Saccharomyces cerevisiae S288C: one gene and its partners. Changing the gene in region 1 together with any one later gene gives a genetic interaction. Each region holds a gene or a part of one and is shown on either strand. Other genes may lie near its edges.

Region 1 (3,103 bases):
TATTTTTAAGCATACCATGCAGAAAAGAAAATATTTCGACAGTGGTGATTACGCTTTGCAGAAAGCTGGCATTCAAAACAATGATCCAATAAACTATGGAAAGAATAACCTGCCATTAACAAATCCCAGCAAACTACGAGAAGATATAATAAAAAGAAGGATAAGCACTTGTCCGTCAACTGCCTCAACCGCTGGTGTAGTAGATAATGCGACGTTGATACAAAAGGAGGGAAGTATATCGAGTGGACCACCATCGTCTAATAACGGTACTATTGGAGGTGGTAGTACAAGTTCAACGCCAGTGGGGAACCACAGCTCTTCGTCGTCCAGTTTGTATACTGAATCACCCATTAGATAAATAGACAACCTGTACTTTTTTATATTTTTTTAGGGAAAGAGAAGGGTCTCTTATATTTAACGCTTATTATGTGATTTCTCGAAATGTCAAGTGTTACAGCCATATGGCTGACTGTGTTTACGTTAATTAGTTATATATAAACGATAAGCCATTCTGATGTTATCTTCTTGTACTTCTAATTAATAATATTTACTCGTCAGAATTTCGACTTTAATGAGAATATAGATATCTTCCTAGTTTTCCAAACATTAGAGAACCAAGGAAATAAAAATCCATGAAATATAAAAATTGGGAACCGTCGATAATATCTTTGTAGCAAGAGATACAACAACCCACCCCAATGCAGATGCAGCTCATTAACATGGATATTGAGCCGTCAAAAAACAACCACAGTATAATATTCAGAAGCCCCCATGCCCCTGCCGCCTGCAAAGAGGAGTTCCACTGTATTTTCCTGATCCCAAATGTGACTCCCAACATGGCATTGATACTTCTAATAACAGAGGTCAAACTGTCATGGTGGACAGAGCTCTTAACAACCTCTGTTTGAAAAATATTATCCAGAATTGGTACAACAGAACCAAATAACAGTCCTTCAACACCGTAGCCTAACCAGTTTGGCAGAACCCCATTGGATAGCCAGTTACAAAGTTTGACACCCAGTAGAAGGGGTCTCGATGCAAAATCTGGATGTAAGAGATGATTATCGTGCAAGTTTCTGGACAGTTCATGATATGCGAAACCGCTCAATGACAAAATTAATACAGCTTGCAGGTAATGAAGAATATTTTGACGAGTTTGTCTGGTTCTTGACGGAAAGTTTTCGTGAATGGATGATGCTGATAAAATCCTTTCCAAATTATTAGAAGATACTGTGTTCCTTGGCAGCGAGCCGCCAACCTTATGGGCCAAGTAAAAAGTCGAATCAATAGTTTGATCTCTACTATATTTGGTAGAATCTATAGAGACAGAGCGTTTCAATTCTTCGTAAATTTCGTTATCTTCCGATCTCACGACGTCATCATCATATAATGAATAAAGCTGCGGTTTAGTCAGAGAGCAGATTGATTCGGTGCTCTTCTTTGGATCCGGTTCTCCTCTATTGGCCATTCTGTATGCTGTTTTCTTTGAGAAATACTTTGTCGTTTATCTTCGTCCTTGTCTTCTTTTTGGTCCTTTGTGTTTGAGTGCTTTCCAAACTTTTTCTTTACCTTTTGCACGCCAACTACTATGCCCTTTATTGCAAATAAAATAGGTACTACAATAAGCCCTATCATCAATGTTGAGCTGTCAACTAGAAGTTTAAGGAAAAGAACATCTCGAAGTTTAGTAATTTCCTTGCTTTCATATTTTAAATGTCTAGCTAATTTCGTATCTACCCTTTATCTCATGCCGATAAAAAGAAAAGTTCCCCCCTCGTGGCCAGCGACGTTCGTATATACATAAAACTGCCTCACCCTCCTTTCGGTGGCAAAAGCATGTTCTACAAATGAGTATAAAGATGTAATAAGAGCTTGTACAAGCAAGGACTCGAGCTAGGGCGGAAGTGTGACAACAGTGAGCTATAGGCACATTGTAGTGTACATCTACTGCAAGAGCTTGCATTAATTTTGATATAAAAAAAAGGACCATCAACTAATTTTTGCTATATTTAAGAATGTCGGCGGCTATCGAAAAAGAAACCGGAATGTTGGATGTAGGAAAGCACTGTGCATATTGTAGACAACTAGACTTCCTACCTTTCCATTGTTCGTTTTGCAATGAAGATTTCTGCTCGAACCATAGACTTAAGGAAGATCACCACTGTAGGTGGTTGCTAGAGCATGAAGAAGTTCATAAAACTGAAAAAAGTCCTAGCAAAAGCCGGGATGGCTCAAGTTCTAACGATGAAGCATATTTCAAGAGTCTGTTACCTGAGAGGGCCAGTGTTAGAATCCAGAGAGTAAGTGAAACAAGAGAGCCTTTGAGAGGTTCTAACACTGCCAAAGTGAGCTCTACTTTGAACTCAAAGACATTAGACAAAATATTTAAGTTCTTCCAAAGGAATGAGAAAAGAAAGAGCAATAACAAATCAAAAAAGAATTTCGGTTCCTCGTCGAATAAGATAATTCAATTGGCTAATCTCAAGAAAATTGCTAAAGGTGACCCCAAGATTCCTATGCAAAATAGGATTTACATTTGGTGTTACTTGGTGGATGGTGATGAGACGGATATAGCCAAGGAGGATACAAGAATGCCATTATACATTAACAAAATGTGGCCTGTGGGTAGGGCCATGGACTATTTGTCTATCCAGCTAAACGTGAAATCTAGCACACTAACTAATTCAAGTTCTAATGACAAATTTCAACTATGCAAATTGAAAGAGGGTAAACAAGTTTCATTTTATAATATTGGCGCTTCCTTAAGAGTCACTAATGAGATCAAAGATCTTGATACTCTGTATTTAGTACACAATAACGCCGACGAAAAATCTAATTAAGAAGGACACTATAAATAACAAACAATCGCGCGGAACGTCAAGCGTATATACTATATAAAAAGAAAACAAAAAAAATCAATAACCCATTAAAGATACATAATCAATAAAAAACGATATTAAAAAGCACGTAAAGTACTTAATATTTTTTTAATAATAGACATTTTCGCCCTTACTTTTTAAATAAAAAACATAAAAAAATATCAAATGTACATCAAAATCATAATACTAGAACAAAATGTGAAGATCACTGGACGGTGGTGGGA
Region 2 (3,415 bases), on another chromosome or scaffold:
GGATCACTTGTTTGTCGTTTTTTTTTTTTGGTGACTCTTACTGCTTTTTATAGACACACACACACACACACACACACACCTTCTTCTGGATACCGTAGAGAAAGGGATGTAGACAAATAAAAAAGGACAAAAGCTAGAAAAAAGACGGAAGAGGACGTGCGATTGCGTTGAATATGACCTTCGCAAATAAATATTAATAAATATGACGTTTTTGCCGCAATGCTAATTCTATAACCCACTCCTTCGTTGCCTTCTATGCTTTAATTAAACAATGGGTCCGGCTCAAACCTGGAAGGAAGATTTATAAATCTTGAAAAGAAAAAAAAGTGTGATTTAAAAAAATGAAAAAGAAAAACAAGAGGGCAAAAAAAAATGAACTACTTATTGAGACATGATTCAAGGGAAAAGACCTTCATATATACAGATTACTTTTCGAAATGGTCAGCCGCTTCATGAGCTCTTCTTGGCTGTATCGTACCACCGTGGTTCAATTAGGCAAGTATGTTGCTAAGATTAATTGCTGCGGCGCATCGTATAAGGTGATATACTAAATTCATTATCATCACTATGCATGGGTGTCATTATTATTAACATGGGAAATGGGCCCACTCCCAAGGACTCTATCGTCGATATATAGACAGCACGATTGCCCAGGAGTTATGGCACGTTGTTTTGAGGCTAAGTGTATTGTTATGTCGAGGTTGTCGGCAGAGCGATTCAGTTTGCACGATTTAATTTGGACTGGGACCTGCAGGGACCGGAATTGTAATGTCAAGGCACCAGTATTTTGGAAAGCGTTTATAGTGTCCTCCCTGGGGCCCAAAGACGAAAAGTTTTCGATTCGCATAGTGTCACTGTATAGCGCCGGATTATCTCTTCCTCTGACTATCAAGATTTCGTTGGTATCCCTTAGTTTTTCACTGACAAACCAGGTCCCTTGGTAATTAGGGTCAGCTTGTGGCATGGATATGCCCACTTTCTGTCCAATTGTGTAAGACCACAATCCATCGTGTCTGCCCCATGTCGTTTTGGCACCGGATTGTGGGTCAACGGTAATGATATCACCCGGTGAACTGGGTAGGTAGTGCTTTAAAAAATTCTTGAACTTCCCATGCTGGGAATTGTTGACGAAGCATATGCCCTGTGAATCAGGCTTTTCTGCAGTCGGGAGGCCTGCATACTTCGCTAAATCTCGTACTTCTGGTTTCGTTAGATGGCCAATGGGTAGCAACAAAGATGACAAAACAGTGGAGTTGATTTGTGAAAGGTAATAGCTTTGATCCTTGGGCCTATAAATGCTTCTCAGTAAATGGAATAATCCTTTTCCATTCATTTCCTGCATAACTCGGGCGTAATGACCAGTAACAAGCCAATAGTTACCCGTCCCATACTTCTCATCCAGCCACTCTCTCAGCTTGCCGAACTTGACGAACTTGTTGCAACCGATATCTGGATTGGGTGTCGACCCTTCACTGTAGCCTCTCAACATTGGTTCAAATACATCTATCCAATAATCTTGCTCAAAATTAACTTTGTCAACTCGGATGTTCAAATGCTTAGCGACACGGTTCACATCTCTCCAATCCCTCTCGTAGCATGGCTCCTTGCCAGGGTCGTCCAAAGATTGTGATTCAGACCAGTTCTGCATATATACTCCTCGGGTATTTGGAAATTCTCCGGCAAATAGTGCTGCCGCCACAGAGGAATCTACCCCAGATGACATTGCCACTATCACGTTGTCAAACTTTGCCGGTAGCCGCTGTGGTCTGTACGGTGAAGCACTCCTCCGTCCTATTAAATTTAAATATCTTGCCAGCATTGTTATCTGACTTGAATCGATTGCCAAATCAATACGCTCACATTTTTAACGTTCTTGTATGTTTCCAAACTTTCATTCTTTTACAATAAAGCAATGTTTTGCCTCAACTATTGAAAGAAAAAAATAAGAGACCAATTGTTACTACCCGGCGCTCTTAAAATTTTCAAGCGATGAGATGAAATTCATACAAAATGGCTTTACAGAGAGTTACTAGTACTTCACTAACTTCCTACTGCTTGAAGTAAAGTCACTAAAAGTACTTTTGTCATTTAAGTTACCACCACATATCTCTTTAACCTAGAATATGGCAGGCGTGCAGAAAAGAAAAAGGGATCTCGAAGATCAAGACGACAATGGAAGCGAGGAGGACGACATCGCCTTTGATATTGCAAATGAAATTGCCTTAAATGATAGTGAGAGTGATGCTAACGACTCCGATAGTGAAGTTGAAGCTGATTATGGTCCCAACGATGTCCAGGATGTGATCGAGTACAGCTCAGATGAAGAAGAAGGAGTGAACAATAAGAAGAAGGCTGAAAACAAGGACATCAAGAAAAAAAAGAATAGTAAGAAGGAAATAGCAGCATTTCCAATGTTAGAAATGTCAGATGATGAAAACAATGCATCTGGTAAAACTCAAACCGGTGATGATGAGGATGATGTCAATGAATATTTCTCCACAAATAACTTGGAGAAAACAAAGCATAAAAAAGGTAGTTTTCCCAGCTTTGGCCTATCCAAAATTGTATTGAACAATATTAAAAGGAAGGGATTTCGCCAACCCACTCCTATTCAAAGGAAGACTATCCCATTAATTTTGCAAAGTAGGGATATTGTTGGTATGGCACGTACCGGTTCTGGTAAGACTGCAGCATTCATCTTGCCAATGGTGGAAAAATTGAAAAGTCACTCAGGTAAAATTGGCGCCCGTGCAGTCATCTTATCGCCTTCCAGAGAATTAGCCATGCAGACTTTCAACGTTTTCAAGGATTTTGCCAGAGGAACAGAACTAAGAAGCGTCCTCTTGACTGGTGGTGATTCCTTGGAAGAACAATTTGGCATGATGATGACCAACCCAGACGTTATTATTGCAACACCTGGTAGATTTTTACATCTGAAAGTTGAAATGAACCTCGATTTGAAGAGTGTTGAGTACGTTGTTTTCGATGAAGCTGATAGGTTGTTCGAAATGGGTTTTCAAGAACAGTTGAATGAATTACTTGCATCTTTGCCTACAACAAGACAGACTTTGTTGTTTTCTGCTACTCTACCTAATTCATTGGTTGATTTTGTTAAGGCTGGTTTGGTTAATCCAGTTTTGGTTCGTTTGGACGCGGAAACGAAAGTTTCAGAGAACTTAGAAATGCTTTTTCTATCCAGTAAAAACGCAGATAGAGAGGCGAACCTATTATATATTTTGCAAGAAATCATAAAGATTCCGTTAGCCACTAGTGAACAACTTCAAAAGCTGCAAAATAGTAACAATGAGGCAGATAGTGACTCAGATGATGAAAATGATCGCCAAAAGAAGAGGAGGAATTTCAAGAAGGAAAAGTTCCGTAAACAAAAAATGCCTGCAGCTAATGAACTTCCTTC
Region 3 (3,552 bases), on another chromosome or scaffold:
CCTGTCCCTGTTTTTGTTGTACTCGGTTTTTTTCCTTTTTAAACTGTGTGCACTTTCTGATTCCGTCTTGTCGAGGCTGTCGGAGAAAAGAGTAGCACACACGACGATAACAATAGATACGGTAGATTGGATGGGGCACAGATGTGCAAGGCAATGCGCGAATCCTGTCTACGATGTCTGTACCGTCCATCCTTTCTCCTTTGCATCGGAAACATCCGCGCTGTCTACCTTAGGAGGACCTCATGGGACGGGCGCTGGGGACTCGTGCCCATCCGGGACTGGGGGTGAGATTTCACAACGGGGCCGCTGCTGGTCTCACCCTCTGGCCGGGCCGGTCCGTTTTTGTGGCGTCGCTGCAGGTAAACGCGCAGTTTCTGCGCGTTTACCCCTGAGGTGAATACCATCTTCAAGCGTCAAACTGCATCCGGATATCCTGCTGTTGGTAGCGATGGTGGTGGTAGTGGTGTATGCTCTTGGTTCTGGTGGTGTCTTGCGTCTTCTCTTCTCTTTCTGTTCGTTCGGTTCGTATATAGGTATGTATATATAATGAAGGATGGAAGATCCTTCATTGCAAGTGGGAACGGCCGGCCTTGTGGTCAGTGTTACTGTCATTCTCGGGATGGGAGGAAGCCGGGTCATGGCCCATGGTTTGGAGCAGTTGGGCCAAGGCAGACTGGGGAAGAGTGTAGGTGACTTTGTTCCCGTTGCTGTCTGTCTTCACTCCTCCTGTAGCACCAAGTAGCGCCTCCAAGGATGCTAGATCAATGGGGCCGGAGGTCTTGCTCTTGGATTGGCTGGAAGGGTCAAGATTTTCTGCATCTGTGTCAGCGTCCGTGTCGTCTATGTCCATTGGATCGTCGTTATCGGCGGCAGTCACCGAGGCCACAGCGGCTTCGTGGTCGCGAGTGAATTTGTCCTGAGGTTTCTTCGTAGTGATAGCGAACACCTGTTCGTCGTTACATTTGGAAAAATCGTAGTAACTAAACACCCTTCTTCTCTTGTCTGCAAAAGAACGCACTGATGTGCGGTGGGCCTTGGACTTCATACGGTCGCTCCATTGAGCGACGTCTTCACCTTCTTTCAGCAGCGCGACAACCACTATACTCATGTTGTCGCATCCAATACCCGTCCCCTCTGTGGTGGGAGCACAACAGACATCGATGATCCGCGAAGAAATTTCATTCAATGTCTTGCCTTCGCGAAGGCCGAGATGAACCAAGTCCACACAATCTTGGGAAGTCAAACAATCCCAGATACCATCACAGGCTAAGATTACAAACTCGTCCCTATCGTAATCTAGAGAATGCTCGAGAATGTCCGGAACACATGTCACTATTTGCTCCTCGGGGCCCAATTTGGGGTTGGATTTGAACTCAAAATCACCAATGGCACGAGAGAGCGCCAAGTTACCGTTGACCCTATCCATTTCTACGAAGCCATCAGCTGCCACAATACGTGATTTTTCGCTTGCTAGAGTGGGCTTGTGATCGTATGATAATGCCTTTGCGTTCCCGTCGGTGGCGAGTACGGTTCTACTGTCACCAGCGTTACCACATACTAACAAGTTCTGGGACTTTGATACTAATATGGATGTAGCCGTACATCCGCTATGGTCTTCTTTCATCACAGGATCTTGTAACAGTTTCACGTCTGTGTTTATGAAAGTATCAATCAAAGCCCTTGGTAAATTTCCTTCATGGAACGATTTCTGCTCTTGCAGGATCTCCACTATTTTATTACCACAGTATTCTGCTACTTTAGCGCCACCATGACCATCGAATATACCGTAAAATGCAATATGGTCCTTATCGGACTTTGTCAAAACATTAGGCTCTAGAATGTGTGAATCCTCCATTGACATCCGCCACCCTTGCATTGCACACAGTCCAAACGCGGTCAAGGAGTCAGCACCGGAGTGGCTCTCTTTATCAATTACCGGGTTTGATAGAATTTGTCCCATTTTTCTTTTTCTGGTTCTCTATATTTTATACAACAATGGAATAGTCAAAATCCTAGGGATGTTATTAATCGGAAAACTACTATCTCGAACGAATAGTTATAATTAATCAATGAAAAAAAAAAAGAGAAAGTAAAAAATGTTACAACAACTAATATACACTAATTGTCCTTGATAACAGAACTTGTTGTAGTTTTATTCCGTGGGGAGGAGGGTGAATTTTTTTTATTTAGTTTTAAAGAACAAAACAGAAGTCTATATACTTAGCACTATAATATCCAGTTTCAATTTGCTCTGTCAGAATCCGAATTGGCTGGTTTTCTTTGTTTTACCATCCCCTTCCATTTATCAGCATGATATTTTTTTTTTTAGAATAATCCTTTCAATCGTTGAAGTAGTTTGTGGGAAAAAAAAAGTTGTTAAAGGCATTAACGTACACAGTGATTTGCTGACTCATTACGATTTTTCACTCATCGAAGTATTGTTAGATTTTGATATATTAACATGACTAAAGGGCTATGGTCCATCGTAGCAGAAGGCAATCATCACTTTAAAACCGAGGCCACAATCGATAATTAGCACTGATATTCTGATTGGAAAAAAGGCAAAAAATGACCGCTTCCATCAAAATTCAACCGGATATTGACTCTCTAAAGCAATTACAGCAGCAAAATGACGATAGTTCCATAAATATGTATCCCGTGTATGCGTATTTGCCATCATTGGATCTGACTCCTCACGTGGCATATCTAAAATTGGCACAATTGAACAACCCTGATAGAAAGGAATCATTTCTGTTGGAAAGTGCTAAGACAAATAATGAATTAGATCGTTATTCATTCATAGGTATCTCGCCACGCAAGACCATCAAAACCGGTCCTACTGAAGGCATTGAAACAGATCCTTTGGAAATTTTGGAAAAGGAGATGTCTACCTTTAAAGTAGCCGAAAATGTTCCTGGTTTACCGAAATTAAGTGGTGGTGCTATTGGTTATATTTCTTATGACTGTGTTCGTTATTTCGAGCCAAAAACAAGAAGGCCTTTGAAAGATGTCCTAAGACTTCCAGAGGCATATTTAATGCTTTGTGATACCATTATTGCCTTTGATAATGTTTTTCAGAGATTTCAAATCATTCATAACATTAATACCAATGAAACTTCGTTGGAGGAAGGTTACCAAGCTGCAGCACAAATAATCACTGATATCGTATCAAAGCTAACCGACGATTCCTCGCCAATACCATATCCAGAACAACCTCCTATTAAATTGAATCAAACTTTTGAATCGAATGTGGGCAAGGAAGGTTACGAAAATCACGTCTCCACTTTGAAGAAGCATATTAAGAAAGGTGATATTATTCAAGGTGTGCCATCGCAAAGAGTGGCAAGGCCAACTTCGTTACATCCTTTCAATATTTACAGACATTTACGTACAGTGAACCCATCTCCTTACCTGTTTTATATTGATTGTTTGGATTTCCAAATCATTGGTGCATCTCCAGAATTGTTGTGCAAATCGGATTCCAAAAATAGAGTCATTACCCATCCAATTGCTGGTACTGTCAAACGTGGGGCTACTACTGAAGAGGATGAT

Evidence for each region. Genes that interact genetically often act in the same process or in processes that back each other up.
Region 2: mutations in NSG2 (region 1) and SLM3 together harm fitness more than expected from each alone (negative genetic interaction), as found in Saccharomyces cerevisiae (2 studies listed by BioGRID).
Region 3: mutations in NSG2 (region 1) and PTC2 together harm fitness more than expected from each alone (negative genetic interaction), as found in Saccharomyces cerevisiae (2 studies listed by BioGRID).

Annotation. Positions count from the first base shown.
Region 1 is NC_001146.8:340,501-343,603, forward strand, and holds NSG2 (Nsg2p), read right to left. Parts: upstream 1,469-3,103; coding exon 569-1,468; downstream 1-568. Other genes in the region: IGO1 (phosphatase regulator), read left to right, coding at 1-358; YNL155C-A (uncharacterized protein), read right to left, coding at 1,411-1,635; CUZ1 (Cuz1p), read left to right, coding at 2,016-2,840. UniProt on the Saccharomyces cerevisiae protein: Stabilizes the HMG-CoA reductase HMG2 by preventing its HRD1-dependent degradation. Binds directly to the sterol-sensing domain (SSD)-containing transmembrane region of HMG2, promoting its folding to protect it from degradation.
Region 2 is NC_001136.10:392,094-395,508, forward strand, and holds SLM3 (tRNA-5-taurinomethyluridine 2-sulfurtransferase), read right to left. Parts: upstream 1,820-3,415; coding exon 566-1,819; downstream 1-565. Other genes in the region: ATP-dependent RNA helicase DBP10, read left to right, coding at 2,124-3,415. UniProt on the Saccharomyces cerevisiae protein: Catalyzes the 2-thiolation of uridine at the wobble position (U34) of mitochondrial tRNA(Lys), tRNA(Glu) and tRNA(Gln).
Region 3 is NC_001137.3:335,381-338,932, forward strand, and holds PTC2 (type 2C protein phosphatase PTC2), read right to left. Parts: upstream 1,961-3,552; coding exon 566-1,960; downstream 1-565. Other genes in the region: anthranilate synthase TRP2, read left to right, coding at 2,569-3,552. UniProt on the Saccharomyces cerevisiae protein: Dephosphorylating regulator for many key proteins. Dephosphorylates the cell cycle master regulator CDC28/cyclin-dependent kinase 1; its activity appears redundant with phosphatase PTC3.